Neurospora crassa OR74A: one gene and its partners. The protein of the gene in region 1 purifies or fractionates together with the protein of each later gene. This does not show direct contact. Links are inferred from orthologs where the notes say so. Each region holds a gene or a part of one and is shown in the gene's direction. Other genes may lie near its edges. The genes, in order: un-10, NCU02810, NCU04640 and NCU05270.

What was found.
Region 2: the proteins of un-10 (region 1) and NCU02810 purify together in Saccharomyces cerevisiae (affinity purification with mass spectrometry; 3 studies listed by BioGRID, with this or other methods). This does not show direct contact. The link is inferred for Neurospora crassa OR74A from reciprocal best matches to the Saccharomyces cerevisiae genes PRT1 and GCD11.
Region 3: the proteins of un-10 (region 1) and NCU04640 purify together in Saccharomyces cerevisiae (affinity purification with western blotting; 4 studies listed by BioGRID, with this or other methods). This does not show direct contact. The link is inferred for Neurospora crassa OR74A from reciprocal best matches to the Saccharomyces cerevisiae genes PRT1 and SUI3.
Region 4: the proteins of un-10 (region 1) and NCU05270 purify together in Saccharomyces cerevisiae (affinity purification with mass spectrometry; 6 studies listed by BioGRID, with this or other methods). This does not show direct contact. The link is inferred for Neurospora crassa OR74A from reciprocal best matches to the Saccharomyces cerevisiae genes PRT1 and FUN12.

The regions. Positions count from the first base shown.
Region 1 is NC_026507.1:3,330,318-3,334,563, reverse strand, and holds the start of un-10 (eukaryotic translation initiation factor 3), read left to right. Parts: upstream 1-1,446; 5' UTR 1,447-1,673; coding exon 1,674-1,945; intron 1,946-2,080; coding exon 2,081-3,623; intron 3,624-3,689; coding exon 3,690-4,118; 3' UTR 4,119-4,246. Other genes in the region: NCU02207 (T-complex protein 1 subunit beta), read right to left, coding at 1-107, 188-342, 418-420. UniProt on the Saccharomyces cerevisiae protein: RNA-binding component of the eukaryotic translation initiation factor 3 (eIF-3) complex, which is involved in protein synthesis of a specialized repertoire of mRNAs and, together with other initiation factors, stimulates binding of mRNA and methionyl-tRNAi to the 40S ribosome.
Region 2 is NC_026501.1:9,044,126-9,052,307, forward strand, and holds NCU02810 (eukaryotic translation initiation factor 2 gamma subunit), read left to right. Parts: upstream 1-3,539; 5' UTR 3,540-3,953; coding exon 3,954-4,471; intron 4,472-4,536; coding exon 4,537-5,523; intron 5,524-5,596; coding exon 5,597-5,627; 3' UTR 5,628-6,087; downstream 6,088-8,182. Other genes in the region: NCU02809 (hypothetical protein), read right to left, coding at 6,627-7,448, 7,507-8,182. UniProt on the Saccharomyces cerevisiae protein: As a subunit of eukaryotic initiation factor 2 eIF2, involved in the early steps of protein synthesis.
Region 3 is NC_026505.1:1,362,471-1,370,566, reverse strand, and holds NCU04640 (eukaryotic translation initiation factor 2 beta subunit), read left to right. Parts: upstream 1-3,809; 5' UTR 3,810-4,175; coding exon 4,176-4,187; exon of another isoform or gene 4,188-4,660; coding exon 4,661-4,802; intron 4,803-4,853; coding exon 4,854-5,504; intron 5,505-5,614; coding exon 5,615-5,681; intron 5,682-5,736; coding exon 5,737-5,836; 3' UTR 5,837-6,483; downstream 6,484-8,096. Other genes in the region: NCU04639 (non-classical export protein Nce102), read left to right, coding at 1,488-2,000; NCU16952 (hypothetical protein), read right to left, coding at 2,634-2,743, 2,844-3,084; NCU04641 (FAD dependent oxidoreductase), read left to right, coding at 6,947-8,096. UniProt on the Saccharomyces cerevisiae protein: Component of the eIF2 complex that functions in the early steps of protein synthesis by forming a ternary complex with GTP and initiator tRNA.
Region 4 is NC_026504.1:5,512,607-5,520,589, forward strand, and holds NCU05270 (mitochondrial translation initiation factor IF-2), read left to right. Parts: upstream 1-3,068; 5' UTR 3,069-3,356; coding exon 3,357-3,869; intron 3,870-3,964; coding exon 3,965-4,480; intron 4,481-4,554; coding exon 4,555-6,587; intron 6,588-6,671; coding exon 6,672-6,918; 3' UTR 6,919-7,324; downstream 7,325-7,983. Other genes in the region: NCU05271 (hypothetical protein), read left to right, coding at 48-364, 448-2,204. UniProt on the Saccharomyces cerevisiae protein: Plays a role in translation initiation. Translational GTPase that catalyzes the joining of the 40S and 60S subunits to form the 80S initiation complex with the initiator methionine-tRNA in the P-site base paired to the start codon.

The DNA.
Region 1 (4,246 bases):
CCTGGACCTTGGAGATGTTTACGAGGACCTTGGCAGCGGCGTTGTCGAGAGCGATAGACTTGAGGATAGTAGCACCGTCGTTTGTTACTAGAATCTCACCGGTCGAGCTGGATGTTGTGATGGTGCGGTCAGCACATGACGGCGGCGTGTCAAGCATGTAGGCGGGGGGTTTGGTGAACAAGCATACGCAGACTGGAGGATCTTGTCCATGCCCTTGGGACCAAGGGTGCTCTTGACGAGGTCGCCAACAGCAATGGCGCCGACGAAGGCGCTGAGACGGGCATTCTCTCCCTTCTCTTCTGTGGTGCCCTCCTCGAAGATCTGGGTGGGGCTAAACGAGGCCTGGAGATGGTCAGGCGGTTGGTTAGTTACGGTGAGCTCGGAAAGATGCCCAAAGTGATGTACAAATCAACTTGCCATGATGTAGAAGAAGCTTAAGTATTAGACAAAAGGTCGGGGATACGGGGTGCACAGGGGGTTGAGGTTGGAAGAGAAGAAGAAGCAATTGAAGCTTGGTAGTACTATATTTTGGGTGGACGTTATGGATACCCTGAACGCGAAGCCTCCTTTCTACAACAATCTGCCAGCAGCGGGACGGATGATGCTCTTCTGAATTCCAGGCACTTTTTGGACGGCAGGCCACGGCAAAATTCCAGAGCTTCCTGTTCCTCCTTTACCTCACCGCCTGCGACAGGTGGCATAAAATGCTTGTCACTCGCATGCCAGGCCGTCTGCCCCTCCTTTGACAGACAAAATGTCCACTTGAGGTGAGTGGGCAGCAGGGGACCCCACTTGGACGTCTTCCGTGGGGAAGGAAGAAAGGGGGGGGGAGGGGAGCTTTGGGCTGGCAGCGGCGGCGGCGGCGGTGGATAGTGGTGGACAGCGCAGCCAGCACTTTGAGAAGCGAGGAGCCCAGGGGACTACCGTCGAGGCTCAAAGCCAAGAGGAAAGGGAACCTGAGTCGGTGCAACGAACGAACCGCAACCTTCAGTCCACTTCTTGACTTCAAAGTGATGGCAACTTGAAACCTGTAAACTCTGCTGAAAGCGGACAGACGTTGCCATGGTCAATATTGGTTCCGTGCACAAACGAACAATGCTTAGCCCACTGCCTGCCGCCATCATTTTGTTAAAAAGAAAGGAAACCGAAAAAGTTGTAGTTGATGAAGAATAGAGACAGCATCGAGAACTTGACTTTCCCAGGCTGAGTGTTCATTGCGACTGTGCAATATCCATGATATCTGAGGCTCCGTCTTCTTTAACCTCCAAACTATCCACCCCATCATTGCATTCACTGACATAAATTCCCATTTTGGCGATTCCAGAGAGAGGGGATCTGGTAGGGTAGCCAATCAACGTGCATTATTGCCTCCTAAAGTGGGGCATTCCCTTCACTGTCTTCCCTGGTTCTCTGGCCGTTCTCACTGAACCCCACCACAATCTGCGCGCTGCGCACAAATTCTCACAATAATCCTGACGACCGCATAAGCCAGCACGTTGTTCCGCCCGCGGCATCGCAGAAAAAATCCGAAGCGGCCAGCCCAGAATCCCGTCATCCACCAAGTCCAACCACCACCACCACCACCAGAGGCGCCTTCCCGACCCGTACATCGCCAGCTACCACTAATCCCCGGCACCCACCAAGCATAACAGACTGCCGATTAATTGCCCAGCATGGCGCCCTCTTTCGACCACCTCCGCGACGAGGACCTCGACGAGGATGACTTCGATGTTGATGAGGTCGACATTTCCGATATCCGCGAGAAGTACGAGGTTCAGCTTGAGCAGGGCTACGATGCCTTTGTCGTTGTCGACGGCCTCCCCGAGGTCAACGAGGAGCAAAAACCCAAGCTCGTCAAGTTCCTGTTGAAGAAGCTCAACACGGTTGGCAAGACCCGGGAGGACCTCATCTTCATGCCCATGGGCGAGGATGGAAAGTCGCTGAGGTATGCAACACAGCCGCCGCCTTCAAAATGATGCGCATCTACAGACCGGCCATCCATCGCCGCGCCCGAACCGCGATGTGTCCCTATGCTGTGCATGTTGGCTCCCCGACCAGGCCACTGATATGAATTCTGTAGGTTCGCCTTTGTCGAGTACTCGTCGCCCGCCGAGGCCGCTGCCGCCTGCAGACAGCTCGACCTCGTCCCCCTCGACAAGAAGCACACCCTCCGCGTCAACAAGCTTACCGATGTCGACCGCTATGGTCGCGAGGGCCGTATCGATGACGAGTACACTCCTCCCAAGATCGAGGAGTTCCAGGAGAAGGAGCACCTCCGCTCCTTCATGGCCGACCCCAGCGGCCGCGGCAGAGATCAGTTTGTCATGTTCAGGGGAGAGTCCGTTGGTGTCTTCTGGAACAACGAGAAGGATACGCCCGAGAATATTGTTGACCGCCAACACTGGACCGAGACCTTTGTGCAGTGGTCGCCCCTCGGTACCTACCTTACCTCCGTCCACGCCCAGGGTGTTCAGCTTTGGGGTGGTCCCTCGTGGACCAGGCAAAGGCGTTTTGCCCATCCTTTTGTCAACCTTGTCGCCTTCTCTCCCAACGAAAAGTACCTTGTCACCTGGTCCAACAGGCCGATTTCGATTCCTGAGGAGGGTCACCCCGCTCTTTCTGTAGAAGACGACGGCAAGAACTACGTTATCTGGGATATCGAGACCTCCAAGCCCCTTCGTTCTTTCGCCCAGCTCGACACCCCCGCCGCCGCCGAGGGCGAGGCTCCCAAGAAGGCCCCCAAGTTCCCCTGGCCCGCCTTCAAGTGGTCTGCCGATGACAAGTACGTCGCCAGGCTGAACCCCGGCCAGTCTATTTCCGTCTACGAGCTTCCGAGGATGAACTTGTTGGACAAGACCGCCATCAAGATCGAGGGCGTTGTGGACTTTGACTGGGCTCCCGCCACCGTGCAGCGCGACGGTGTCAAGTCCTACGAGCAACTTTTCTGCTTCTGGACCCCTGAGATTGGCAGCAACCCCGCCAGAGTCGGCTTGATGAGCATCCCCTCCAAGCAAGTTGTCAGGTCACTGAACCTCTTCAGCGTCTCGGATGCCAAGCTCCACTGGCAGTCCGAGGGTGCTTATCTGTGCGTCAAGGTTGACCGTCACTCCAAGTCCAAAAAGTCTCAGGCTACCACTCTTGAGATTTTCCGTGTCAAGGAGAAGGGAGTCCCTGTGGAAGTTGTCGACACCATCAAGGATACCGTAATAAACTTTGCCTGGGAGCCCAAGGGCGACAGGTTCGTTATCATCACCACCACCGAGCCTGTCGGTGCCACCGCGGTTCCCCCCAAGACGTCGGTCGCTTTCTTCTGCCCTGAGAAGGCCAAGGGCAATGCTGTTGGAAACTTCAAGCACCTCCGCACTCTCGAGAAGAAGAACAGCAATGCCATCTACTGGTCGCCTAAGGGACGCTTTGTGGTCGTTGCCACTGTTGCCAACACTCAGAGCTCTGATCTCGACTTTTACGACCTCGACTTTGAGGGCGAGAAGCCCGAGTCCGACAAGGACCTTACCGCCAACCTTCAGCTTATGAACACCGCTGACCACTACGGTGTCACCGACGTTGAGTGGGACCCCTCGGGTCGCTTCGTTGCCACCTGGGCTTCCGCGTGGAAGCACTCTGTAAGTATCATTGGTATTAAATCAAGATGACGTGCAGCAGAAATCGCTAACGTGAAACAAAAACAGATGGAGAACGGATATCATCTGTATGACTTCAAGGGTGAGCAGCTGCGCGAGGAGGCTATCGAGAAGTTCAAGCAGTTCCAGTGGAGGCCGCGCCCCGCTACCCTCCTTAGCAAGGAGGAGCAGAAGGCCATCCGCCGCAACCTCCGCGAGTACTCGAGGATCTTCGAGCAGGAAGACGCCGAGCGCATCAGCAGCGCCGACGTTGCCGTTGTCGAGGCCCGCCGCCGCCTCCTCGAGGAGTGGTTCGCTTGGCGCGAGGCCATCAGGCAGGAGGTTGCCGAGGAGCGCGAGATCTACGGCCTTCCGGCGGATCCCGTTGCCGACCTCATCAAGGCCAAGACCCCCGAGCTCGCCACCGACCAGGAGGAGCAGGTCATCGAGGAGATCATGGAGGAGGTGTTGGAGGAGACCGAGGAGATCGTTCAGTAAATGTGCGAATAGGCGGCGGCAGTAGTTTGATATGTTGTGAAGTTACATGGCGTACCGTTTTTTCCCCGTTTTTCGAAAAGGTCATCTGAGGGTACAGTGAATAAAATGAACTGGGTTCTTTCATATCT
Region 2 (8,182 bases), on another chromosome or scaffold:
GTTTTTTTTTTGTTCCCTGTGTCTCCTGAATGTTGGAGATGCTGCAGATTCCTGTGGTGTTGCTTTGAGAGAAACGGGGAAAGAAGAGAAATTCAAGTCTAGAAGCAGAAATGGTCTACACATAAGACTCGAACGCCGTAAGAAAAGATGTAAGACCGGAAGTGGGGTTGCAACCTTTCTTCTTCTCGATATAGTAGCAACGGACCAGGGGAATAACAACAGCCTGTTGACGGCATGGACGATCCCGCGGCGTCAACACCAACATGTAGATGGCCCTGCGTGTGCACACATGGCCAAGAAGACGGAAATGTGCTCAGATAACTCGAATAGCAATCGACTGCTCATGATGAGTCCTCCTTCTCTCCTCATGTCTTCTCGCCCCCAACACCAGAGCCCTTCATGCTCTCTCTTGTGTTCTGCCTTCCTGGTCACAGGAGAAAATATCACTGGTTCGGACAGGCAAGGTTGGGTAACACGAATCCATTGGCTGGGGGCGGCTGGCGGATGGGGGAGCACTTTTACCGGACTCGACCAGGAAGAGGCAGGCCAACGACATCGTCCAGATGTACCGCCAAGATCATCGACAGCGTGAAGCTCAGAGCAGCACTAGGAGACGGCGGCCCGTGGTTGGGCGGCAAGCGGTCGTCGTCGTCGTTGTCGTTGCTGAGGAAGTCTTGGAGGGCGGGCCTTTTTCACAAGAACCCCTGCCGTACATCTCCGCTGGTCCCCTGCCATCCAACTGCCTACCCTGGAGTGTTCCGAGTCCTCTAATTGGCTGTTTGTTTTGGCTTTTCACATGTGTAGCCAATCAGTTGGCACAATCCTGTGATAGAGCTGCCAACCATGCATTGCTGGGCGGCAAGCGGTACCACACAAACCTCCTCTACGCTCTCTTCTCCGCGACTAGCGACTCGCTCGCTCCACGCTGTTCACACTCCATTTTTTGCGCAAATCATGGTCCCCCAATCTAATATCGGGCGCTGACCCAGAAAGGGCCAAATTCACGATTCTGAGTGTGATGTTTGACCATGACTTCGCGGGAACGCGCGGGAATCACGCGCCGGGGACACAGTAATCTTTTATACTTGCCGACCAGCATCGTCAGTTGACCATGTTCATTAATGTGAAAGCCAAGGGCTGGTGAAGGCGGGGATTTCAGCAACCCGGCGGCTTCTTCAGACTTGTCAATGTCACACCATCACACGTGTGGTCTCTGCTTCCCGACTTTCCAGCTATTCTGTGTTCTTCACGCTTTTCTCTATTTGGGAGCGGGGTCCCTCTGGAACAGCGACGAACAACGACGTCGGTGTTCCGTAACACAGCGGACAACATGGCATGGTACCAAGACATGTACACCGCTAGGACGGATGCAGTGCTGCTGAGTGAGTGTAAGACGGACTATGCAACGAGCTTGATTCAGGAAAGACGATACAAGGCTGGTGGTGTTTGGGTGTATGTTCTGGACTCGCAAAGATCAATACCTTGAATATCAGAGCCGTGGTCACAAGTCCGCGACAGTGATGTCCTTGTTCTGGACTTGCATTTGACAGCCAATATGTTATCCAACTCGGACATCTCAGCTTACGAGTTTCCGCCCATAGATAGCTTGGCAACTTATATGCCGTCCTCAACTCTGACGAAAAATCGTATCTACACCTGGAAGCGAGGTTACCTTGTGCTGCACTTGTCAGCACACAGATATTGCCCGCCCTCCATCGGGTGTTCGTAAGCACAGAGTATCATGGAAGTGCCAGTATTTAGCACATCAACTTGGGGGTGTTGCCACCGGTTTAGTATTTTTAGCCCGCCGAGACGGAGGTTGTGTACTAAGGCTTCAGTACCACCGTTGTGATATCGCCATCAAAACCATAATGGACAGCCAGTTCTGCGTTATATTCCTACCCGCTCTCTCGGTCATCTCGGTGGCTCGGTGGCTCGGTGGCTCGGTGGAAGCACGCTGTTCGGCTGCTGCAAGTCATCGCCCATGGCACCATTGATGCGGTTCGATGACTTGACAAGAAAAATCCGAGCTCAGCAAGAATTCCCATTTTGGGGAGTGGTGCCGTAGGTAGTGCTGGCCACATCATGTCGTGAAACGATGATTACCAAGCTCATTGCAGAAGACAAATCCTCAGCAGTGCGCCTCTTAAGAAGAACTGACAAGGTATTAATAGGAGTGGCTCGGCCATGCCAGTTGTGAATTCATCGTTTGGTCCGTTTGCCCAGTCTCAGCCCGAATGAACTTGAATAGACACTCCCGTGCTATTTTTCTTGACCCCAACCCAGCGATGATCAAGCTCCCAGCATGGTTATGGACGTGACTGACGGCCATTCAGCGGTCAAGCGGATATGTCTCGTGTAACCGGCTGAGTCTTCTCCCCGCTCCAATAGTCATTGCTGTGAATCGGTTGTGGCTTGAATCCTACTAGACTGCTTCTCGAACCATCAGAGACGGTTGTACGCGCTGTTGAACAGGTCTTGGCCCCGGAATCTTCCCGATTCCGATCCAACAAGCATCTGGGTTGGATGTGAAACAAGGGCTTGGGCGTGTTTTGGGGGCCGGGAGAGAAGCGTGTTGGTGGCCGATGTAGTTTTGATGTATATCGAGCATATTCCCAGCAAAATACACTCAAAACATAACATGATCCTGTAACGCTTGCACAGCTGTTGCAGTTACTCCCTGCCTCAGTCCAAGATCACGGAGGACAACATTCGGGCCACTTGGCTCAACTCTTCACAGCGCTATTATCCCGAGACTGAGCCCTAGTTGAACCCTTATTATCCCAAGAGCGATGAGCCTCACCTTTCGTGAAGATATCGAATAACTTGACGGGAAAGGGTCGAATCCAGGAGAAGACACCTCGTGTCCTACCTTTTCGCTCCACAGTCAGGCATTGGCAGCAGGTACGACTTTGATGACGCCCTTAACCAAGCTTCATAGAGTTGAGACTGTGGCCATGACCAGCATCGTGGGTGCTCCTCAGAGTTGACGACGACAAGCAGACTCGGCGTTGTTGATGATGGATCAGCTTATCGACCCGGAAACGTTTGTATGTACGTCGAAGGATGCCGGTGTCAATGGGAGAGGCCGTTGCAGAGTAACGATTGTTCTCAAAGAAAGAAACCGGATTCAACTCGCCGATCGATACAATGTACCCGTTCTCAACGTTCAGTTGATATAATTCTCAGCGTTGAGTTACCGTGTACGCTGTGAGTAAGTTTCTGCCGACACAGACGGGACAGAGGGTTGGATAAAAGTGTAGATGGCGAACTCTTGATAGGAGAGAGGTTCCAAAAGTCACCTCAATGATGTTGAAGCTGAACCGTGACTGAGCTCTGGACTTTAGCACTACACTTACTTGGTCCTTATCGCGCTCTTATCGGCCCTTGTGGGGCAGGCGACGGTCGGGCTAAACCGAAAACCGTGCTTAGTGGGGCAGCGGCAAAGGCGGGAAGGGTTGGGCGCACGCAGGGCAGGTTCGCAGAGCGGAATGTGTGAGGCTCTCGCCTTGTTGGTCGCAGCTGGCAGCGGCAGCACAGGAAAATACCGACCTAGCACAAGCCAAATACAAGTCAAATATCGTCAGAGTCATCCACCAGGCAGGCAGTTTTTCTTCTCAGCCTTCCTCCAACCTTCGCTGTAACCCCACTATTTTGGCAGGTCCAGTTTTACTACCTCTACCGTCCACCAACAACGTCCGCTATCACAAATATCGCGAGTCCCGTTGCGGAGACAGTAGGACACCCACATACATACCCACACCAAGGAGCAGGGTCTAGAAAAGTACACAGCAACTACCAGGCATACACCACCCACTACACAGTACACAGCAAGAGGGGTTGCTTCACCGAAAGCGAAAAAATTACTGCCCCGCGACACATCCATCCATCGACTTGACGACCCAACCTAACTCACCTCCACACCTCACCTCCATCCACCCACATCCACAATCATGGCTACCAACGGCGACAAGTTTGGCAACGACATCGTCGAGTCCGACTCGGGCTCCGACAACGAGTCTCACGTCGACCAGCACGAGTCCGACAACGAGGTCGAGGCCAAGCCGCGCAAGTCGGCCCTCAAGAAGGCCCCCGCCCCCGTCGTCCAGAGACCTCCCCTTCCTCCCCAGACCGATCCCAAGGACCTCGACGTCAAGACCCTCAGCCCCCTCACCCCCGAGATCATTGCGCGACAGGCCACCATCAACATCGGCACCATCGGCCACGTCGCCCACGGCAAGTCGACAGTAGTAAAAGCCATCTCGGGCGTCCAGACGGTCCGTTTCAAGAACGAGCTCATCCGCAACATCACAATCAAGCTCGGTTACGCCAACGCAAAGATCTACAAGTGCGACAACCCAGCATGCCCTCGCCCGACATGCTACAGGAGTTACAAGTCCGAGAAGGAGGTTGATCCCCCTTGCGAGCGCGAGGGTTGCGAGGGCACCTACCGTCTGTTGCGCCATGTCTCGTAAGTTGTTTAACATAACATCATTTGCGCCAATGAATGACTGACCATGTGTCTCCTCCTCCCAGCTTCGTCGACTGCCCTGGTCACGATATTCTCATGAGCACTATGCTTTCAGGTGCCGCCGTCATGGACGCCGCTCTCCTCCTGATTGCCGGAAACGAATCCTGCCCTCAGCCCCAGACCTCCGAACATTTGGCCGCCATCGAGATCATGAAGCTCGACAAGATCATCATCCTCCAGAACAAGGTCGATCTCATGCGCGAGGAGGCCGCCAAGCAGCACTACGAGTCCATCCTCAAGTTCATCCGTGGTACCGTTGCCGGAAAGTCGCCCATCATCCCCATCTCGGCCCAGCTCAAGTTCAACATTGACGCCATCAACGATGCCATCGTCAACACCATCCCCGTTCCTCCCAGGGATTTCTCCATGGACCCCCAGATGATTGTCATTCGTTCCTTCGACGTCAACAAGCCCGGTGCCGAGATCGACGAGCTCAAGGGTGGTGTTGCCGGTGGTTCCATTCTCCACGGTGTCCTCAAGCTCGGCGACGAGATTGAGATCCGTCCCGGTATCGTCACCCGTGACGAGAAGGGCGACCTCAAGTGCACTCCCATCTTCAGCAGGATTGTCTCCCTCAACTCCGAGGCCAACGACCTCAAGTACGCCGTGCCCGGTGGTCTCATTGGTGTTGGTACCCGCATCGATCCTACCCTTTGCCGTGCCGATCGTCTGGTCGGTTTCGTCCTCGGTCTCAAGGGCCGCCTCCCCGAAATCTACTCCGAGATCGAAGTTAACTTCTACCTCCTCCGCCGCCTTCTCGGTGTCCGCACCGCCGACGGCAAGCAGGCCAAGGTCGACAAGCTTGCCAAGAACGAAGTCATCATGGTCAACATTGGTTCCACCTCCACCGGTGCCAAGGTCTCCGCCATTAAGAAGGATGCCGCCAAGCTCATCCTCACCTCCCCTGCCTGCACGAGCATCGGCGAGAAGGTTGCCCTTTCCAGACGTATCGAGAAGCACTGGCGTCTTATCGGTTGGGCTACCATTGCTGCGTAAGTTTTTTTCTTTTCTATTTCTTTACCCCATAACTTATCACCACTGAATAACCACTAACAAAAAAAACAGCGGTGTCACCCTCGAGCCTTCTACCTCTTAAGCGAGCGACCAGAAAATATCCAAAGTTTATACATCGCTTGATTAGGAGGAAAATTAAAAGGTTGTTAATTTTTGGTTGCTCTAATGATGAATATCCAAAAAGTCGTTGGAGGATGATCAAAGAATGGAAACTTGGGCGCGGACACGGAAGGAAACGGCGTAGCGTGGGGAAACCGGGACCTGTGTTTCTAAAAACTAGCCTTGTGAAATTTGTACATGGTCTTATTTTTATCCAACTTGGGGCCGAGGACAGTAGAAAGACTGGTCATACGATTCGTTGAAGAAGATGAGCGAGGAATGTTGTGAAAAGAGGAACTCGTGAAGAGAAGCGCATTATCGGACCATTAGGAGTTTTTGTACAAAAAGTTATGTTTGGTACCGACGTACTTTGGGTTTACCAAGTAGTGGTAGAGGTAGAGAAGATGCCATTACGTTGATTTTGTCAAGGTCCGACGTACTTGGATTGAGTTTATTAGCCAGTGGTGATGATAAGAGTAAACTTGAAAGAGTGAAGTAGAGAAGATAAATACATTGATTCCGCCATGAGTCTTCGACGTAATGACCATCTTACCATTATACTAGGCTATGGTAATGGCTCGGATAGATGGAAAGAGTCCAAGAATATACCTAACAATACTCTTCATGGGACACAGTCGAGTATGTATCCGTACGTAACTCTATTCATTTTTCTCTTTCTAGACCTGATAGTCTATCATACCTATCACAATTCCCTCCCCCTTTTGAAACTGAACCACACCCGAAAAAAACCTTCTTGTCCTTCGCTAATTACAACACCTGATATTATAACAAGTCTCAGTCTATCAAAGTAATCACCTCCTGTACATCGAATAGAAGAATAGAATATAATCATCATCCTTTTCCTTTCCCCCCTCCATTCCCTGATCCCCAACCAAACCAACCACCCACACTCTCACATATATATATACCCAATCACACCCACCTCCCCCACCCCGACTTATGTACTCACGTACTTACTTACTTACTTCCTAACCTTCCTTGCATGCTTCACCAGATTCTCAATCACCCCTTCAAACGCCTCCCGATCACCAATCTTCTCATCCGTCCTCTGCTGCCAATACACCAACACCTCGGACGCCACCCCTTGCATCGCCTCCAATTTTTGAACATGCTCTTTGAGTTCCTTGTCCGTCATCCCCGAAAGCGCCTCATCCGTCGTCTCGCACAGCTGCTTGGCAGCCACTAGGTCGAATACCGGTTCGGGCGGTGGTCCCTTCCTAGCGGAACTGGAAGAGCGGTTGGCGCTTCCTTCTGTGTTTGATCCTGCGGCGGCGGCGACGGTTTTGTTGACGGGTGGTTGCTTGGATGGGTTGCGGCTTGAATTCGAAGTCGAAGTAGTGGTAAGGTTTTGGCTGTTTTGGTTGTTGCGGAAGGCAGCGGCGGCAGAGCTAGCGCGTCGCGAACGACCTGTGCGTTCGTCGTCTGCTGCGTCGGGGTCGCCTAACGAAGGCAAGACGAGTTTCTTTTGTTTGGAAGCGGGGAGGATCTCGTCTAGGTCGACGGGGACGCCGAGGGAGACGAGGAAGAGACGACGGATGCGGGAGCGGATCCAGTCGGGGGGTTGGAGTGGGGGAGGGGCGACGAGCTGTGACCAGAGGGAGGCGGAGCGGGGGTGTTGGAAGATGGGGTCGGTGATGCCGTTGGAGACATTGAGGGTGGGGATGGGGGAGGAGGAGGAGTCGTCGCCGTCGGTGTCGGGGGAGGGAGGGAAGAGAGCGTTGAGGTAAGGGGAAGTGAGGGAGAGGATCTCGGACGCGGAAAGGTGGGTGAAGTCGGGTATTTGCTAGGGGATATGTTAGTGTGTGTTGGACGTAGAGGGAGTAACTGGGTTGGGGACTTACGAAGGATAATGAGGACTGCGGTTGTTGTGGTTGCGGCTGAGGAGCAGGTGCTGGAGCTGAGAACCCTTCGGCTTCTTGGAAGTCATCGTCGTCAAAGCCGGCATCGTCAAAGTCGCCAAAGTCAGCATCGTTGTTGGCCTCGGCTCCCTCCTCAAAGTCGTCAAAGTCATCCCCAAAGTCATCGGCGCCAGCCGGAGCTGGCTCAGCAAAGTCGTCCCCAAAGTCGTCATCACCAAACCCGTCATCGTCGGGGGCTTTATCCCCTGCTTCAGCAAATCCGTCGTCGTCGTCGTTGTCGAACCCATCTTTTTCAACAGGCTTCTCCTCTTTCTGGTCAAAGCTGACATCGTCCTTCTTGTCCTCTTCTGGCTCGACCTTCTTCTCGTTCTCTTGACTGGGTTCTGCCTCGTCGAAGTGGTCCTCTGTGTCTTCTTCCTTTGTATCTTGCGTCTCAAGCTCTTCGCTGGCATCCTCGAACTCGTCTCCTTTCAATGCTTCTTCGGTGTCGCGGTCTTTTGACTGTTCCTCCTCGTGCTTCTCGTCCTCCACCTCTCCATCTTGAGCCTGCTCAGTCTTGACCTCTACATTCTCCTCCTCCTTCTTGGATTCATCTTCATCGGCGTCTTCGTCGTCGGCGGTCTTGGCGTTGTCTCGTACGACATTGTCGTGCGCGTCA
Region 3 (8,096 bases), on another chromosome or scaffold:
ACTGTGGGTGTGATGGTGGTAGTGTATATCATTCATCAGGAGATCGACAAGGAACTAACTGATGAATGATACAATCCTGATGTTGAGCAAGCGATGTAATTCTGACGGAAGAGCCCATCCATGTATCGAAGGAGAGACGAAGACGACGACGACGACGACATCAACGACGACATCGAAGTCCTGAAACGTGGTAGCGCGGTTACGAGCAAGCAAAGCAGCCACACGTGGTGAGCTGAAGTGTACGTACACCTATAGTACTCAGTACAATGTATCGGGCCAACGGGCGTGGGCAGTGTCCGGATTCCGGATTCCGATACGATACGCGGATGGCTCGGGGTGGCGTGGACGTTCCTGTACCACTTCCTTGAACAACGGGTCACTATTCTAACTGGCTGGTACATAATACTAGCAGCGTTTTTGGTTATACTTGGAAGGAGAGATGGCGGAGGAGGCTGCTTTTTTCTCTGGAAGTAGTGTATCTTTGGGGTTGGGGTGGCACTGCAGCAGCTGTTGAAAAGGTTGTAGTGTGTAGCGAGTGTAGGGTCACTCAAAACGAGGTTGAGTTGAGTGTGAGAGTAAAAACAGAATGTTGATTTGGTTCTTCGGCTGGGATCGATGCCTCTATGATGATATTCTGGAGGACGATAGAGGGAGGACGGCAATGATGGACGAAACTAACAAAGAGAACATCTTATGGAGGGGTCAATCCCGATCATCAAACTAACTGAAAACGGACCAATCAGTTCCCCAACAAGCCGTGGTCAAAGGGTTCAGTTTATAAGGGTTCAAGACAGAAATCGGAAGAAGGGACCCCAAGCTCGCACATCATGCCCCTCTGTCTAGGTGATATCGTCATCGGCCGGGGTCGCCCCACCCTGGCGATGATGCTTCGCATTGCTTGGCGCTCTTTTCCCCCATGTCATTCCCATGACAATTGCCGTCCCTCGAGTGCCCCTCCATCGATCGGCTCGCTCTTGGTCGCAGTGACATTCGATGTCTAGACGCTTTCTCTGACGGATAGTATGATGGGATGTACAATGTCGTGCGTCAGTTGGTGGGCAGAGAAACAGGTGCTTTGTGTACAAAGTACAATGATCAAAGTGAATGGCACGGCTAAGTACTCCCTCACTGCTATGTAATACTACTACCAACACTTGCCCGATAAAACCGGTCGACCACCCAACAACTTCTTTCCTGACTATTCTTCAACTTGTGCAATCCTCTTCGCGACTTGTGTATCCAAAAGGGTGTTAAGAGACATCTTCCACTGTTCGTGTACATTACAGCATTCGAGACACTTCACCGGGCCATCAACCTCCAACTTATACAAGCAACTTATCGCAAACGCCACGACTGTTCTGCTGCTGCTCGGACACATTACTTGTGATATCTGAGCTCCCCCAACCTTTCCTTCCTCTCCAACACCTGTAAACAATAACAATAAACAAACACCCATCAAGCACACACCAACAAAACCAACCGCCAAAATGGAAGTGATACCCCTCATCCTCCGCTTCATCCAGCTCATCTTCCTCATCATCCTCACCGGCCTCATTGGCAACGTCATCGCCCTCGATGTCGACGCCTCCACCACCGCCCGCGCCGCCATCAACTTCACCATGTTCGTCATCGCGCTCTCGTGGGTGGTCGCTCTCTTCGGCCTAGTCGCCGCCATTTTCCAGAGCGTCGCCATTCCGCTCGTCATGCTCATTTTCGACGCCGCCGCCACGCTCTTCACCGTCGTCGCCGGCATCGTGCTGGCGGCCAAGTTGGGTACTCCGAACTGTGGAAATCTTGCGAATGATCATTATGGACATAAGTGGATCGCGTACGGGAGTGCCGATGATGCGAAGAGGTGCAGGGAGATTCAGGCGGGAACGGTGTTCATGTGGTTGCTTCTTGCGGCGTTCTCGGCGGCGTTGACGTTGGCGATTATGAGCTGGAGGAGGACGGGCGGAAGCGTGAGGAGCGGGCCGACCATGTCACAGGTGGTCGTCTAAGGCGGTCGGGGAGATGGAGTGGTGGTGGTGGTTGGAAACCTTGAGAAAGTGCTCGGGAAGAGTGTTGAAGAAAGCTGGAGAGCCTGGATAGTTTTGGTGGTATGCTTGGATGATGGTATGAGTAGGGCTATGGCAGCAAGGATGAGTTATGGTGATGGATAGCTATTCGCTTCATCATGGGTGTGCGGTGTCGCAACCCTCGACAATTATACCCAGATCAGTGTAATTACGTAGTGATGGCTTGGGTTAATATGGCGAACGAGGAAAGGAAGATCAGAACCTGCATGTTATAATAGTATCAGTCGAACCTAAAGTCAGCAATAGTAATGGGTATAATTGGCATTGTCTGATGATCAGATGTATCTGCAGAGCTTCAACGCTTGCTTCCACAAGTATAACGACAGTCCACATGCATTCTACACATGTCTGTAATTCTTCACCACCAATGCAACGCAAACTGTGCAAGAACGAAACATACCCCTTTATGCTAGTGTTCCCATACCGTAACGCCAAAAGAGCACTGTGTCCACCCCTGGTATCCCAGATTATACCGAAAAAATAGGGTATCGAGAATTGTGCTGCCGTCGCCTTTGACTCGAGTACCTCATCACCACGGTCGCCTGTCTGCCTCCCTCATACTGATACTGGCGTAGCAGCTCCTATCCAACCGGCAATGTTGAATAGCGTCTTGTTATACCATTGGACCTTGACCCCGTGCGCCCACTCCATGTACCGTCCCCAACCTGCCGGGCCATGTTAGCAACTGACTTTCCGCATCGTCGTTATTGTCTCCTCCCACAGCGCAAGCTGTCTTTCCCAAGATCTGGTTTTGGTTTGTCTTACTCCAATAAGCAAACTTGCGCCCCAAAAACTTGCCCGCGAACGGTATTAGCACCAAGTTCAAGAGAAGCTGCAGCTGCTCGAGACTCTGTTCCCATTCCTTTTGTGCGTCTGATTCGTCGTCGTACTCGGAGTCGTCCGAGCCTAGGATACTGCTGGAGATGGACGGGAGGGAGTCGACATCGTCGTTGTCGGTTGACGGGGAGTGGTCGTGGAGGACGTAGGAATCGGAGGGGGTGGACATGGTTTTGGATGTCCCGAATGCGCAATTTGTCTGTCTGAGGGTATCGCGTCTCTGGCCGGGAGTAGGTAGCTATCGTCAGTGTGGTTTGGATGAGGCGAGCAAGTGGTCGGCGCCGGCGCACGGTCGGTTGTCGCGGTGAAGATGGTACTGTAAGTAGCTATCGTAGCTCGGGCAAATTGCGATAGTTCGGGATGGAGACACTGTACGAATCGGCGTAACGCCTGACGTGTAGGATATTGTAGAAATCGCGTGGGACGAACTTGATTGCTGCTGGGAGATTCGTTGTCGGTTACGAACACAGCGATACACGGAGATGGATACCTCTACGGACTCGGCGCGCCTTCCAAGGTTCGTGATGGAGCTGGTTGTTGTCGGTGACCGATGACGGGCCACGGCACCAACTGCTGCAGCAGTGCAGCTATGCGATGCTGGAATGGACACCACTCACCTATCGCTGCCGCCAAGCACTGCACCGGACTGCAAGTGCCAGTGCCAACCCAACCGTGTCGGACTGTGCGGCCGTGGCTCGAGCGGGTTGAAGGCACCGTGCTGCAGGGAGGAGGGCTGCATGGCCTGGAAAATGGAGAAGCGGAGGCGATTTGTAGTTGCAAGTGGCGGGCAGCTGTCTGAGCTCTTCCCACCCCACTTGTCAGGTGATTGAGAAGACTGACTCACAGTTTCGCTTCAATCAACGTCATGAGGTGAACACAGCTGAGGCGTGGTGCCGGTGCCCCATCCAGAGCCGTGTGTACAGAAAGAACTCCGCTCAGTCTCCAGCCCAACGACAGAACTAAACGACAGTAGTAGTAGGTAACCAGACCAGGACCCAAGCGGCATCCAACTACCTAGGTCCCCGCAAAGAACAATTCCAGGTCCGAAACTGAAAGAAAGCTGAGATCAGTCTGCCTGCATCGATACCTCTCCCGACCCCAAAGTCTACCTAATCTCATCCATCGACAAAATCCACTCTCTGCGACCAACAAAGAGTCCACCGGAAGAGACATCGATTACAAAGAAAAAGACGGACAATCACACACCTACAGACAGACAGACAGACACCACCACACTCTCAAACACACCAGTGGCCCAGCATGGATTCTGAAGTAAGTACCTGGGATGGATCTCCTTGCTTCAGTACACACTCACTACCTCTACGCCCACACAACACACCCTCCGTCCTCCCCGACCCTACCACCACGCTAGAGGCAGACACCTCGAGCCCTGGGGGGAGCCACGCTTCTCGCCTAGTCAAAAATACTAAGGAAATAAAAAGTCCCATTCACCACACTGCACACCCCTCACTGTACTTTGCTACCTACGCAGTGCAATTATACCTATCCCCGGCCCCAGCCCTCAAGTCCCCTGACGTGTACTGCCCCTCCAAGGCGCCAACCCTCTCCCTCCACCCCCAGCCCAAAATCCACCATAAAGTTCTGGCACTCTGCAGCGCGAAAACGCCGCCAATCATCCCAAAAAATTCCGAGCTTTCCTATCCACACTCGACGGCGAAATCCTTGACCGCTATCGCGACTCCCACGACAAGCGCCTTATCCACTCCGATATACTAACCCTTTAGGCGCCCTCTATCAAAAGACGCCCCTCGCGCAAGTCTGTCACCTTTACCGACGAGAAGCTAGTTGTCAACCCCGACGGTTCTGTCACCATGGACGCCTCTCCCGCCGACGAAATCAAGGAGACTGCCCAGTCCCACTCTGCTCGTACGCCGCCCCTCCACGCCGCTCTCGGGGCCTTTACTGATGCCCCCCAAGCCACCGAGCCCCAGGATGCTGCTGCTGCTGCCGCCCCCGCCGCCGATGATGGCCTCGACCTTTCGCTCATGAAGAAGAAGAAGAAGAAGGTCAAGAAGGAGGACGATGCCGACGCCGCTGCTGATGAGGCCGCCCCTGCCGAGGGTGACGGTGCTATCGACCTCACCATGAAGAAAAAGAAGAAGAAGAAGGTCGTCAAGGAGGATGATGAGTTCGCCAAGAAGCTGGAGGCTCTCAACATTGAGGGCAAGGAGGGCGAGGAGGCCGCCCCCCAGGAGGACGAGCAGGAGGGCGATATGGACCAGGGCACCGGCATTTGGGCCCACGACGAGACCAAGCCCATCAGCTACAACGCTCTTCTGTCCCGTTTCTTCGCCCTTCTCTCGCAAAAGAACCCCGACCACGCCTCTACCGGTACACGGTCGTACAAGATCCCGCCCCCGCAGTGTCTCCGTGAAGGCAACAAGAAGACCATCTTCGCCAACCTGCCCGAGATTTGCAAGCGCATGAAGAGAGCCGACGAGCACGTTACTTCTTACCTTTTCGCCGAATTGGGTACCAGCGGTTCCGTCGACGGCAGCAGGCGTCTGGTCATCAAGGGTCGTTTCCAGCAGAAGCAGATCGAGAACGTTCTGCGTACCTACATTATCGGTATGTCTATTTGATCCTGTCGTCGTTTGGACGTTTTGCGCCCAAGTAGACAATGTCACCACCAGCACCCAACGTTTTGCTCTGACTACAAATGCTAACATGCTCAACAGAGTACGTTACCTGCAAGACGTGCCGTTCCCCCAACACCGAGCTCTCCAAGGGCGAGAACCGTCTTTAGTAAGTTGGCCTCTGTTTACGACGACCATAGCCCCAAAATGCTGACATGTCACAGTTTCATTACCTGCAACTCTTGCGGTTCTAGGCGGTCTGTCCAGGCCATTAAGACCGGTTTCTCTGCCCAGGTCGGCAAGAGAAAGAAGATGCAGGGTTAAGCGGTTTTTGTTTTCTTGTTTCGAGGCCCTTGCAGTTTGCTTTTCAATGTTTTCACGCTTCAAGGACGGAGTTAAGACGGCATTGTATATGGCTGGTTGGGCACGGGTCTTTTACGAAGTAGCACGGCCCCTCTGAACGGCAATCTCTCATCTCCAGTACACGAGAGAGAGGATGGAAGAGAGAGTCTGTGCTACAAAATCAGGTGAATTCCTTACGCGGTAGGGTACGGGTTAATATGACGATACTTGATGAAGAATTGGTACACAAAAAGTTCTGGTTTTTGATGATGGTGGCACACTTATCCTTACTTTGCATAGGGAGTCTGATAAAGAGGAGGGCTTTCTTCTTTTCCTGAGCTTGTCTGATTTATATGGATGAGGGCTGCGAGGTTGTATCTAGACTGATGTGGGATTCAGAGGTTCTCAGGTCATTCATGACCATGGTCAGCAAGCTAGACTGGGAGAGCAAGGAAGAGGCTGACTGAGCGCAGGATTACGAAGCGATGGATTTTGAGATCTTGCGAACAGGAATTATTCTCTGTTCTTTGCAGTATGTATAGCCATTCAGTCTACCTTTATAAACTACATTATGTTATCGAAACTCAAAGTGGCAGTTGAGTAAAATGATAAACCTTGATACTCCGCGATTGGTGAGAAAAAGCGGCCGCTTAGGTTCGAAATCTCACCTTGACGCGTATACATTGCGTATACACTACGTTCCGATGTTTTGGCGATCGATCCATGATATGCCGAGCACATGCATGATAGTTAGCTTCGGGAGAATCTTTCCCCTCCACATTTTGCATCAACAAACCCATATAAGACGATGGGCCGCAGGCAACAACTCAACGGTTCAACCTCGTCTGTCTGTTCGATAGATTAGTCAACACTTTCCAAGTCAACGCGTAACGTGACTCATCACTACTTTACCTGCTCGATTCCACTCATCACTCAAGTCTTCCCCTTCATCATCACAACCACCAGGTACAAGCCAAAATGACCATCCGCTAAACCGGCCCCAGAGGAGTCGACCAGCACATCCCCCACCCTTCTTCTCACCACCACAGCGACCTCGGCCGAGCCGCCCAACCGACCCAACAGGAAACGAACATGAACACAACCAGCAGCAGCAACATCAACCCTGGTCCCTCCTCTTCAGGCCAGGCCGGACTCCCCTCCGCCAATCCCAGCGCCTCCTACTGGCTGCAACCAAGCGATATTTCTCAGAGGCTTGATGATTATCGGTCCACGCATGATTTGCCGCAGTCGGCTGATACGGTGATTGTCGGGTCGGGGATTACGGGTGCGTTTGCGGCTTGGTTCCTGTTGGAGCAGACGAGGGGAACGAAGGTTGTTGTTGTTAGGTCTGGATCTGGGTCTGGGGCTGGAGCTGGCGCTGGAGCTGGGAAAGAAAAAGAAGGAAACAGCAGCAGCAGCAGCAGCGAAAGAGACATCCTAATGCTCGAAGCGCGCCGGCAACCCTGCTCCGGCGCCACCGGCCGCAACGGCGGACACTGCCAGCCTTTTGTCTACTCGGCTTCCACCCCGTCCATTGCCGAATTCGAGCTGGCCACTTATCAGTTTCTCAAGACTTTTGTGGAGGAGCAGGGAATTGCGGGCGCTGTGGATTGGAGAACGCACAAGACTGTTCATGCGTACTTGACGGAGGAGGTGTGGGAGGGGGCGAAAGCGTTGGTGGAAAAGTTGCCGGAGGGATTAAGGGGCCAGGTGGATTTGGTTGATGATGAGACCAGAAAGGTGAAAGAGGGAGGAGAGACGACGCTGAGGGATTTGAGAGTTCCCGGGGCGAAGGGGGCGGTGGTGCAGAAGCATGCGGCGAGTTTGTGGCCTTGGAAGTTGGTGGTTTGCGTGTTGGAGAGGTTGATGGAGAGGTTTCCGGTTAGGAATGGTGGTACGGGCGAAGGAGGGTTCAACTTGCAGACGAACACACCGGTCTTGGGATTGGAAAAAGTCGGCGATGGCAGGTGGACGGTGATAACGAGCAGGGGAAGCATCAAGGCGAACAGAGTGCTGTTGGCGATGAACGGGTATACGAGTTATTTGTTGCCGGAGATGAAGGACTTGATCGTTCCGGTGAGGAGCCAAGTTGCGTCGTTGCGGCCACCCACGCAGGATGCGACCAGTGGCAAAGTGGCCGAGTTGGATTACAGTTATGCGTTTGTCAGCGAGGAACAGTTTCCGAGGGATGAGTATCTCATGCAGAGACCTCTGCCCGGAGGAGAGCTAATCTACGGAGGAG
Region 4 (7,983 bases), on another chromosome or scaffold:
AGCTCCCAAGCCCACGGGTATGAGTTATGCTAAAAAAAATCTTACAGGACCCGATTGTCTTTTGACAAGCTTCTGCCAGATCAGTCGCAGGTATCAGTGTCGGACGCTTGCGTTACGGATGACTGGATCACAGTCTCAACGCATGTTGGGCCACAGTTCAGAATTTACAGTTTCAAGTTCTATGATACAGCAGTTGTTTCTCAAATCCAGTTCGACGTACCTGGGGACGTGACCTCGCTACATCACAGCCAAAACCTTGGGATCATTGTCGGTCTTTGGAAGGACGGACGTCCATATTTGCTCATCCGTTCCCCAACAACTGAAACAGCCACACAAGATATCGAGGAGATTGATATTACAGAACGTAAGGTTGACCCAGCACACCTGGGCCAGCACAATCCCATGCTGCCTCCTGCTTTGGTTTCCATTATACTGATGTGTTCATAGGACTTGTGACATCGGCTGGATTTACCGGATATCGAGATGACGTGCCTCTCAAAGCAATCGGGAGCATCGCTTCTGTCAATAACGCAATACTTCTAGGAACCAGAGGCGGAGAGCTCATTCACATTTCGAAGGAGTGGAAGGGTACTACAATGGCCTACTACCAACAACTCGGACTGACCGCGGTGAATGTGACTGCGGCCCGGCATTCTCTGACCGCGAGACCGAGAGTGCTGGTCTCCTGCGATCAAGCCTTGATTGAAGTACGACTCGATGAGCATGGACCGAATGGCTCTGTCCATGACTTGGCAAAATATCGTGTCATGCCTGTCAACGCGGGCGATCTTGGTGCTCCTCTACCACTTGTAGAGTACGGCGTGGCAATCGATATTCCATGCGCAAGTGAAGGATTTACCCCTATCCTCATGTTGGCGGGGTCGAGCGCAATCATTGCCGAGCTACACCAGGAGCCTGGTCCAGCTCATCGATATATCACGATTGGAAAGACACCAGTCAAGACGTTCTTCTCACCCAACCTACGTTGCCTGGTGGTTGGTGTTAATGAGGAGGGAAACAAGTCGACGCTGATGTTCATGGATCCTGACACAGGAAAGGACATCGGAAGACCGAGCCACAAAGCAGGAACTCCTGTTCAGTATATTGTGGGGCTGGGTAAACCTGACGACCGAATCCATGGTCTGGCCGAGTGGGAGTACAAGAAGAACAACGGGACGTGGCGCTATCTCCTTGTTGGTACCAAACAAGGCCAGCTCATTATTGTGTCGACGGAAAAGGAGCCATCGAACGGGGACCACCCACCTTCGATAAAATACTGGACGCGATTTAAGAAAAACTGCGATGGACCGGTCTACTCAGTAATAGGACATGAGGAGAGCGTGATCTATTGTGTCGACCAGATAGTCCACTGGGATGTGCTGGACCCTGTCGAGAAAAAGCTGAAGCCACGCAAATTATGTGACTTGGGCTCGTTGGCTCTGGAGCTTCACATCTCCGGGACTAAGATTCTTGCCCTGACGTGGGACGGTTCACTCCAGATGATCGACCCGGCGCTTGACGACGTCATTGAGAACTCTGCAACACTCGAGTTCCACGATCCTCGCAATGTTGTACCAACGTCGTCGATGCAAATTGGAAGCAATGTATTCCTGGTGGCAGATAAAGACCGTGGCGTGGGCGGTCTTTGGCAATGGTCCAGAACACCAGGAACCCATAACTGGGCTGAGTTCAGGGTGCTCTTCGAGGGGACGCTTCCTGTCAGTATCAGGAAGTTCCGGCGCGGCAGGACACGGCCAACGTGGGAGCAAGGAGCCTGGAACGCACCCAAGTACGGCCGGCTCATTAGCACACCGAACGATGCCGAGATGTTGGGAATAGCCATGGACGGCACCATGTATCACTTTACGCTGCTTGATCAGCACGCATTGCGTCTGTTGCGATTCATTGTCAACTTGTATAACCTCAGGGGGAAGAGAGACGAGGAAAGGCTGCTGCACGCGGAGCCGAACCTGGGTCCCACTGAGCCGTCGCATGTGGATGGTGATGTGCTGAAGACACTCTTGGATGCGGAAGTCTTGCAAGAGCTGATCAACACGGAGGAGCTGTTGGCGCGGTTCAAGAGCCTGTTGGATAAGTTGGATGGAGGCAAACATACTGCTGAGTGGATGGGCGAGGGCACTGCGGACCAGTATTTTGAACTGGCGTATAACGTGTTGATGTATTATCTTAGGCAAGTTTACTAAGTGCTTGGAATTCTAAGGCGGGGGGGGGGGGGGGGGGGAAGGGCAAGATACACTGGTAATAAACGGACGTGTGATCCAGTGTCGGCCTACAAGCCGTCCTGATGAATGCCTTGGTGGTGTAGCTACAGCATAATAGAAAAGCGAATAAAGAATATCACTAGCAACATCTGGTTAATGAAATACCCATTATGACAAGGTGAGGGAGTTGGCCTGCCCCCTTGGATGGAATATCGCACAAAATACACCAAAGTGGTAGAAAGTAAATACAGAAATTAGCCCAGCAAGTGCCCCACTTGTGCCTTAACAAGCAGGTGCCCCGCATTCTGCACCAACGAGTCGGTCACTGTACTTGTACGCGGGAGTGCAGGAGCTTCCACTTCTTTTTCACCACTGCACTGTACTGTACTGTATTTGTCTTGACTGCTGTCTCCAACAGTCTGTGCAGTGTCAAGTCAAGGGCTTGGTCAAAGCGACACCTCCTGGCTCCGGCACAAGTAAAAAAAAAAGTTTGGAGTGGCGATCCTTGTCTGGATTTTTCTGCTGAATCGAGACTCCTTTGACTTTGCGACTTCGACTACTTGGGATTGAGTTAGAGAACGGGACATGATTGCCGTTTTTTGACCGTAGACGGAGACAATACCAAACACTTTATACGGGTTGAAAGAAAGCGCATAGGCAGACGGTGTAAGTACAGGTACTGAGATAGGTACGTACCTGACCTCTATATAGTGTAGCAACAAACCAGAGCGGGATTCGATACAAAGAACAACGAAAGAAAAAAAAAAGATCCACGGTGCCAAGTACCTACAGTACCATCGATCCACTCTGCAGCACCACCACCGAAAAGTGATACAAGTGACAAGCCCTATCCCGTCGACAAGGGGGGACCTACAGCACCAAAAAAAGTACGCCGCCTGCCTTCTTTAGCAGCCAGCCATATCGCATATAACGGCCCAGTAGCCCCAGTCGGCCGCCCCACGAACCCACCACCAGAACCACCTAGCGAGCAACGAGGTCTTCACCCGGACTTCGACTTTCGTCACAAGGAGAGAAGGAGAGCCCATCAGGATCCTCTCCCCCGCCCATCCTACCGACGACATCCCCGCCTCAAGGTATTCCCCGGTCGACTACCAACAGTCCAGTTAGCCCAACATGGCGCCCAAGAAGAAGGGAAACAAGAAGGCCAACGATGACTGGGAGGCCGAGCTGGGCGAGTCCATCGCCCCCGTCAACAACAACGGCGCCGATGCTGCTGCCGCCTCTCCCGCTGCCGCCGACGACGAGGCCGCTTCCGGTGGTGGCGGTCTGATGGAGAGAATGCGCAAGGCCAAGGAGAAGCGCAAGAAGAAGGGTCTTGCCGACGACTGGGAGGCTGAGCTGGGCGAAGACGCTCCCGGCGCCGAGAAGCCCGCTGCCGCCGAGCCCGTCCCCGATCTGTCGGCCAAGGTCGCCGAGGAGGCCAACCTCGACGACGAGTTCGCTCTCCCCGAGAAGAAGGGCAAGGGTGGCAAGGGCAAGCAGCAGCAGCAGCAACAGAAGGCTGCTCCCGCCGCCGCCGCCAAGAAGGACGAGGATGCTGCCGATGAGGATGGCCCTAGGGTGTTGACCAAGGCCGAGAAGGAGAAGCTCAAGAAGGAGCGTGAGAAGCAGCGCAAGAAGGAGCAGGTGAGTACCCAGTCATTATCACTATTACCCACTAATGACTATACATACATCAGACACAAACGGAAGACTAACAACAACTTCTTTTCACTAAACAGGCTGCTGCTAAGAAGAAGGGCACCACACCCGCCGCCGCCGCCAAGGCCGAGCCCGCAAAGGAGGAGAAGAAGGCCGAAACCCCCAGCCCCGTCTCGACCCCCGCTTCCACTCCCGCCCCCGAAGCCGCCGCCGGTGGCAAGAAGAAGAAGCTCCCCGCCCACCTGCTCGCCCTCCAGAAGCAGCAGGAGGAGCTGCGCCGTCGCCAAGAGGAGGAGGCTAGGCTCCTCGCCGAGGAGAAGGCCAGGATAGAGGAGGAGGAGCGCGCCGCTGCCGAGGAGGCCAAGCGCAAGGAGGAGGAGCGCGCCCGCAAGAAGGAGAAGGAGAAGCAGAGGATCGAGCAGCTCAAGAAGGAGGGCAAGTTCATGACCAAGGCCCAGAAGGAGGAGAAGGCCCGCAACGAGAGGAAGCTGCAGCAGATGTTGGCGGCCGGTATCAAGGTCAACGCGCTCGAGGGTGAAGAGTCCAAGAAGAAGCCTGTCTACGACGACAAGAAGAAGAGGGCTGCTAACAAGAAGGTGAGTCTGTCCGGGATTCTTGCTACAATTACGGTATACTATGGACGGCGCTAACCAGTGTCTACTTGCTACAGAAGGACGAGGAAAAGGCTCTCGCCGAGGCCGCTGAGCGCGCAAGACTCGCCGCTGAGGCTCTGGTCAAGGAGCAAGAGGAGAAGGCCCGCATCGAGCGCGAGAAGGCCGAGAAGGAGGCTGCTGCCAAGGCTGAGGCCGCCAAGGCCGCCGCTGAGGACAGCGTCGACGAGGACTGGGAGGCCGCTGTTGCCTCTGACAAGGAGGATGTCAAGGACAGCTGGGACGCCGACTCCGACGAGGAGGAGGAGACCAAGAAGGAAGAGACCAAGAAGGAGGCTTCTAAGCCCGCCGCGGCCAACGGCAAGACTCAGGCCAAGAAGGAGGAGTCCGAGTCCGAGTCCGAGTCTGAGGAGGAATCTGAAGAGGAATCTTCTGAAGACGAGGAGGCTACCGCCAGGGAACTGGAGGAGGCCCGGAGGAAGAAGGAGGCTGCCGAGCGCCGCGAGAAGGCTCACCAGGCCGCTCTGGCTGCCAGGTCTGCGGACAACCTCCGCTCGCCTATTTGCTGTATTCTTGGTCACGTCGATACTGGTAAGACGAAGCTGCTCGACAAGATTCGTCAGACCAACGTCCAGGAGGGTGAAGCCGGTGGTATCACTCAGCAGATTGGTGCCACTTACTTCCCCGTTGAGGCCATCAAGCAGAAGACGCACGTCGTCAACAGGGACGGCAAGTTCGAGTTCAAGGTTCCCGGTCTTCTTATCATCGATACCCCCGGTCACGAGTCTTTCTCCAACTTGCGTTCGCGTGGTTCTTCGCTCTGCAACATCGCCATCTTGGTTGTCGATATCATGCACGGTCTCGAACCCCAGACTCTCGAGTCCATGAGACTGCTCCGTGAGAGGAAGACGCCCTTCATCGTCGCTCTCAACAAGATCGATCGTCTTTACGGCTGGAAGAAGATCGAGAACAACGGCTTCCAGGAGTCGTTGGCCCTCCAGAACAAGGCTGTCCAGAACGAGTTCAAGAACCGTCTCGAGCAGACCAAGCTCGCCTTCGCCGAGCAGGGTTTCAACTCGGAGCTCTTCTACCAGAACAAGTCCATGGCCAAATACGTCTCCTTGGTCCCCACCTCTGCCCACACCGGCGAGGGTATCCCCGACATGTTGAAGCTCATTGTCCAGCTTACCCAGGAGCGCATGGTTGGCTCTCTCATGTACCTCTCCGAGGTCCAGGCTACCGTTCTCGAAGTCAAGGCCATCGAGGGTTTCGGTATGACCATCGATGTCATTCTCACCAACGGTATCCTCAGGGAAGGTGACCGCATTATCCTATGTGGTACAGAAGGCGTCATCAAAACCAATATCAGAGCCCTGCTCACGCCCGCGCCGCTCAGGGAACTGCGCCTCAAGTCGCAGTACGTTCACAATAAGGAAGTCAAGGCCGCTTTGGGTGTCAAGATCTCTGCCCCCGGCCTCGAGGGTGCCATTGCCGGTTCCCGTCTGCTTGTCGTCGGCCCCGACGACGACGAGGACGATCTCGAGGACGAGGTCGAGGCTGATCTCGCCTCGCTCTTCAGCCGTGTCGAAAAGTCCGGCCGCGGTGTCTCCGTCCAGGCCTCCACCCTTGGTTCGCTCGAGGCCTTGCTCGACTTCCTCAAGGAGTGCAAGATCCCCGTCGCCAACGTCGGTATCGGTCCCGTCTACAAGCGTGATGTCATGCAGTGCGGTATCATGTTGGAGAAGGCTCCCGATTATGCCGTCATGCTCTGCTTCGATGTTAAGGTCGACAAGGAAGCGCAGGAGTATGCCGATCAGCAGGGCGTCAAGATCTTCACTGCCGACATCATCTACCACTTGTTCGACTCGTTCACCAAGCACATGGATGAGCTGCTCGAGAAAAAGAAGGAGGAGTCCAAGCTCCTCGCTGTCTTCCCTTGCGTGCTCGCTCCCGTTGCCGTCTTCAACAAGTCTGGTCCCATTGTTATCGGTGTCGATGTCGTGGAGGGTCAGTTGAAGATCAACACGCCCATTTCCGCCGTCAAGACGAACCCCGTTACTGGCGCTAGGGAGGTCATCGATCTCGGTAGAGTGTATGTTCCTCCTTTTTTTTTTCCCTTTCACCCCATGATCCTCCTCTCCATGACATGATCACTAACTGATTCATGCAAATGTAGTACCTCCATCGAGCGCGACCACAAGCAGATCCCCGTCTGCAAAAAGGGTCAACCTTCCGTCGCCATCAAGATTGAAATGGGCGGCAACCAGCCCACGTACGGCCGTCATCTAGAGGAGAAGGACATGCTCTACTCCAAGATCTCGCGTGCCTCGATCAACTGCCTCAAGGAGTTTTACCGCAAAGACGTGACCAACGACGAGTGGCAGCTGATTATCAAGTTGAAGCCCATGTTTGACATTGCTTAAACCAACAACCACTATCTAAGTGGTAGGTAGGTAAGTAGGTCAGAGGTGGGAAGGTGGAGACCGTTGGGGGAAGCAGAAGATGGGGATTTTATTATCATCATGGTCATGGTCAAAAGGCATACATGGACATGAGCATGGACATGGACATGGATAAAAATGAGAATGGAGAATGAATGATGCCACATGGATGGTGGAGGGGGAGGTATTGGTGGGGGAGGCATAGGAATATAGGCAAGGCAGGGAATGGAAACACAAAATTACTGCATTGCTGGTTGATGGATCGATGGATGATGGTCTTGGGAAATTATAGTATGTCTTGTCTGTATGTACGTTTATGAAGGTTTGTTTTCTTAGTTGCACTAGTAGGTATCATAAAAGGATGTTTGATTTGATGGGTTAGTAGTTACTTGTACTGGTCCTGTTCGTTCCCATTCGTCGTCATCGTAGTCGTCGTAGTCGTCGTCGTCGTCGTCGTCGTCGTCGTTGTCGTCGTTGGTGATGCATGTCGTGATAAAACCAACCGGTTCGACGATAAGAGAGGTAGGTACACATGTAGTGAAAGTCCAGTCAGCCAGCCCACACTCTAATAAAATGGGAGAACTGAAGTTAGTAAGTATGTAGGTCAGGCAAGCAATGGTGGTGATCTCTCTCTCTCTTGAAAAGCGAGCGACAAGCCAGAAGTTTTTTAGTTTTTTTTTTTAGTTTCAAGTCAATTTTTTTCACAATTTGTTTATCATTCATATCGGTCTTCCATCATCCTCCCCCCTTTCCGATTCGATTCAACAACGAACGCCCTTATATATATATATTTTTTTATCATAACGGACGGACGGATGGTGTGAAATCTTAACGCGGCGGCATAGGTGGCATGGAATTGCATGAATCCATGAATCCATGAATCCATACTTAGGGTACCTATCCCATCTTTTGCTTTCTTGCTTACGTACTTGCGTGCTTGCTTTCTTGTTAGCTATCCAGCTATCCACTTGTTTACTCATTCTAGTGAAGGAAAGGGGAACAAAGTTATTATGAATGAAATTGCCTTGTATGTATTTATTTGTATGT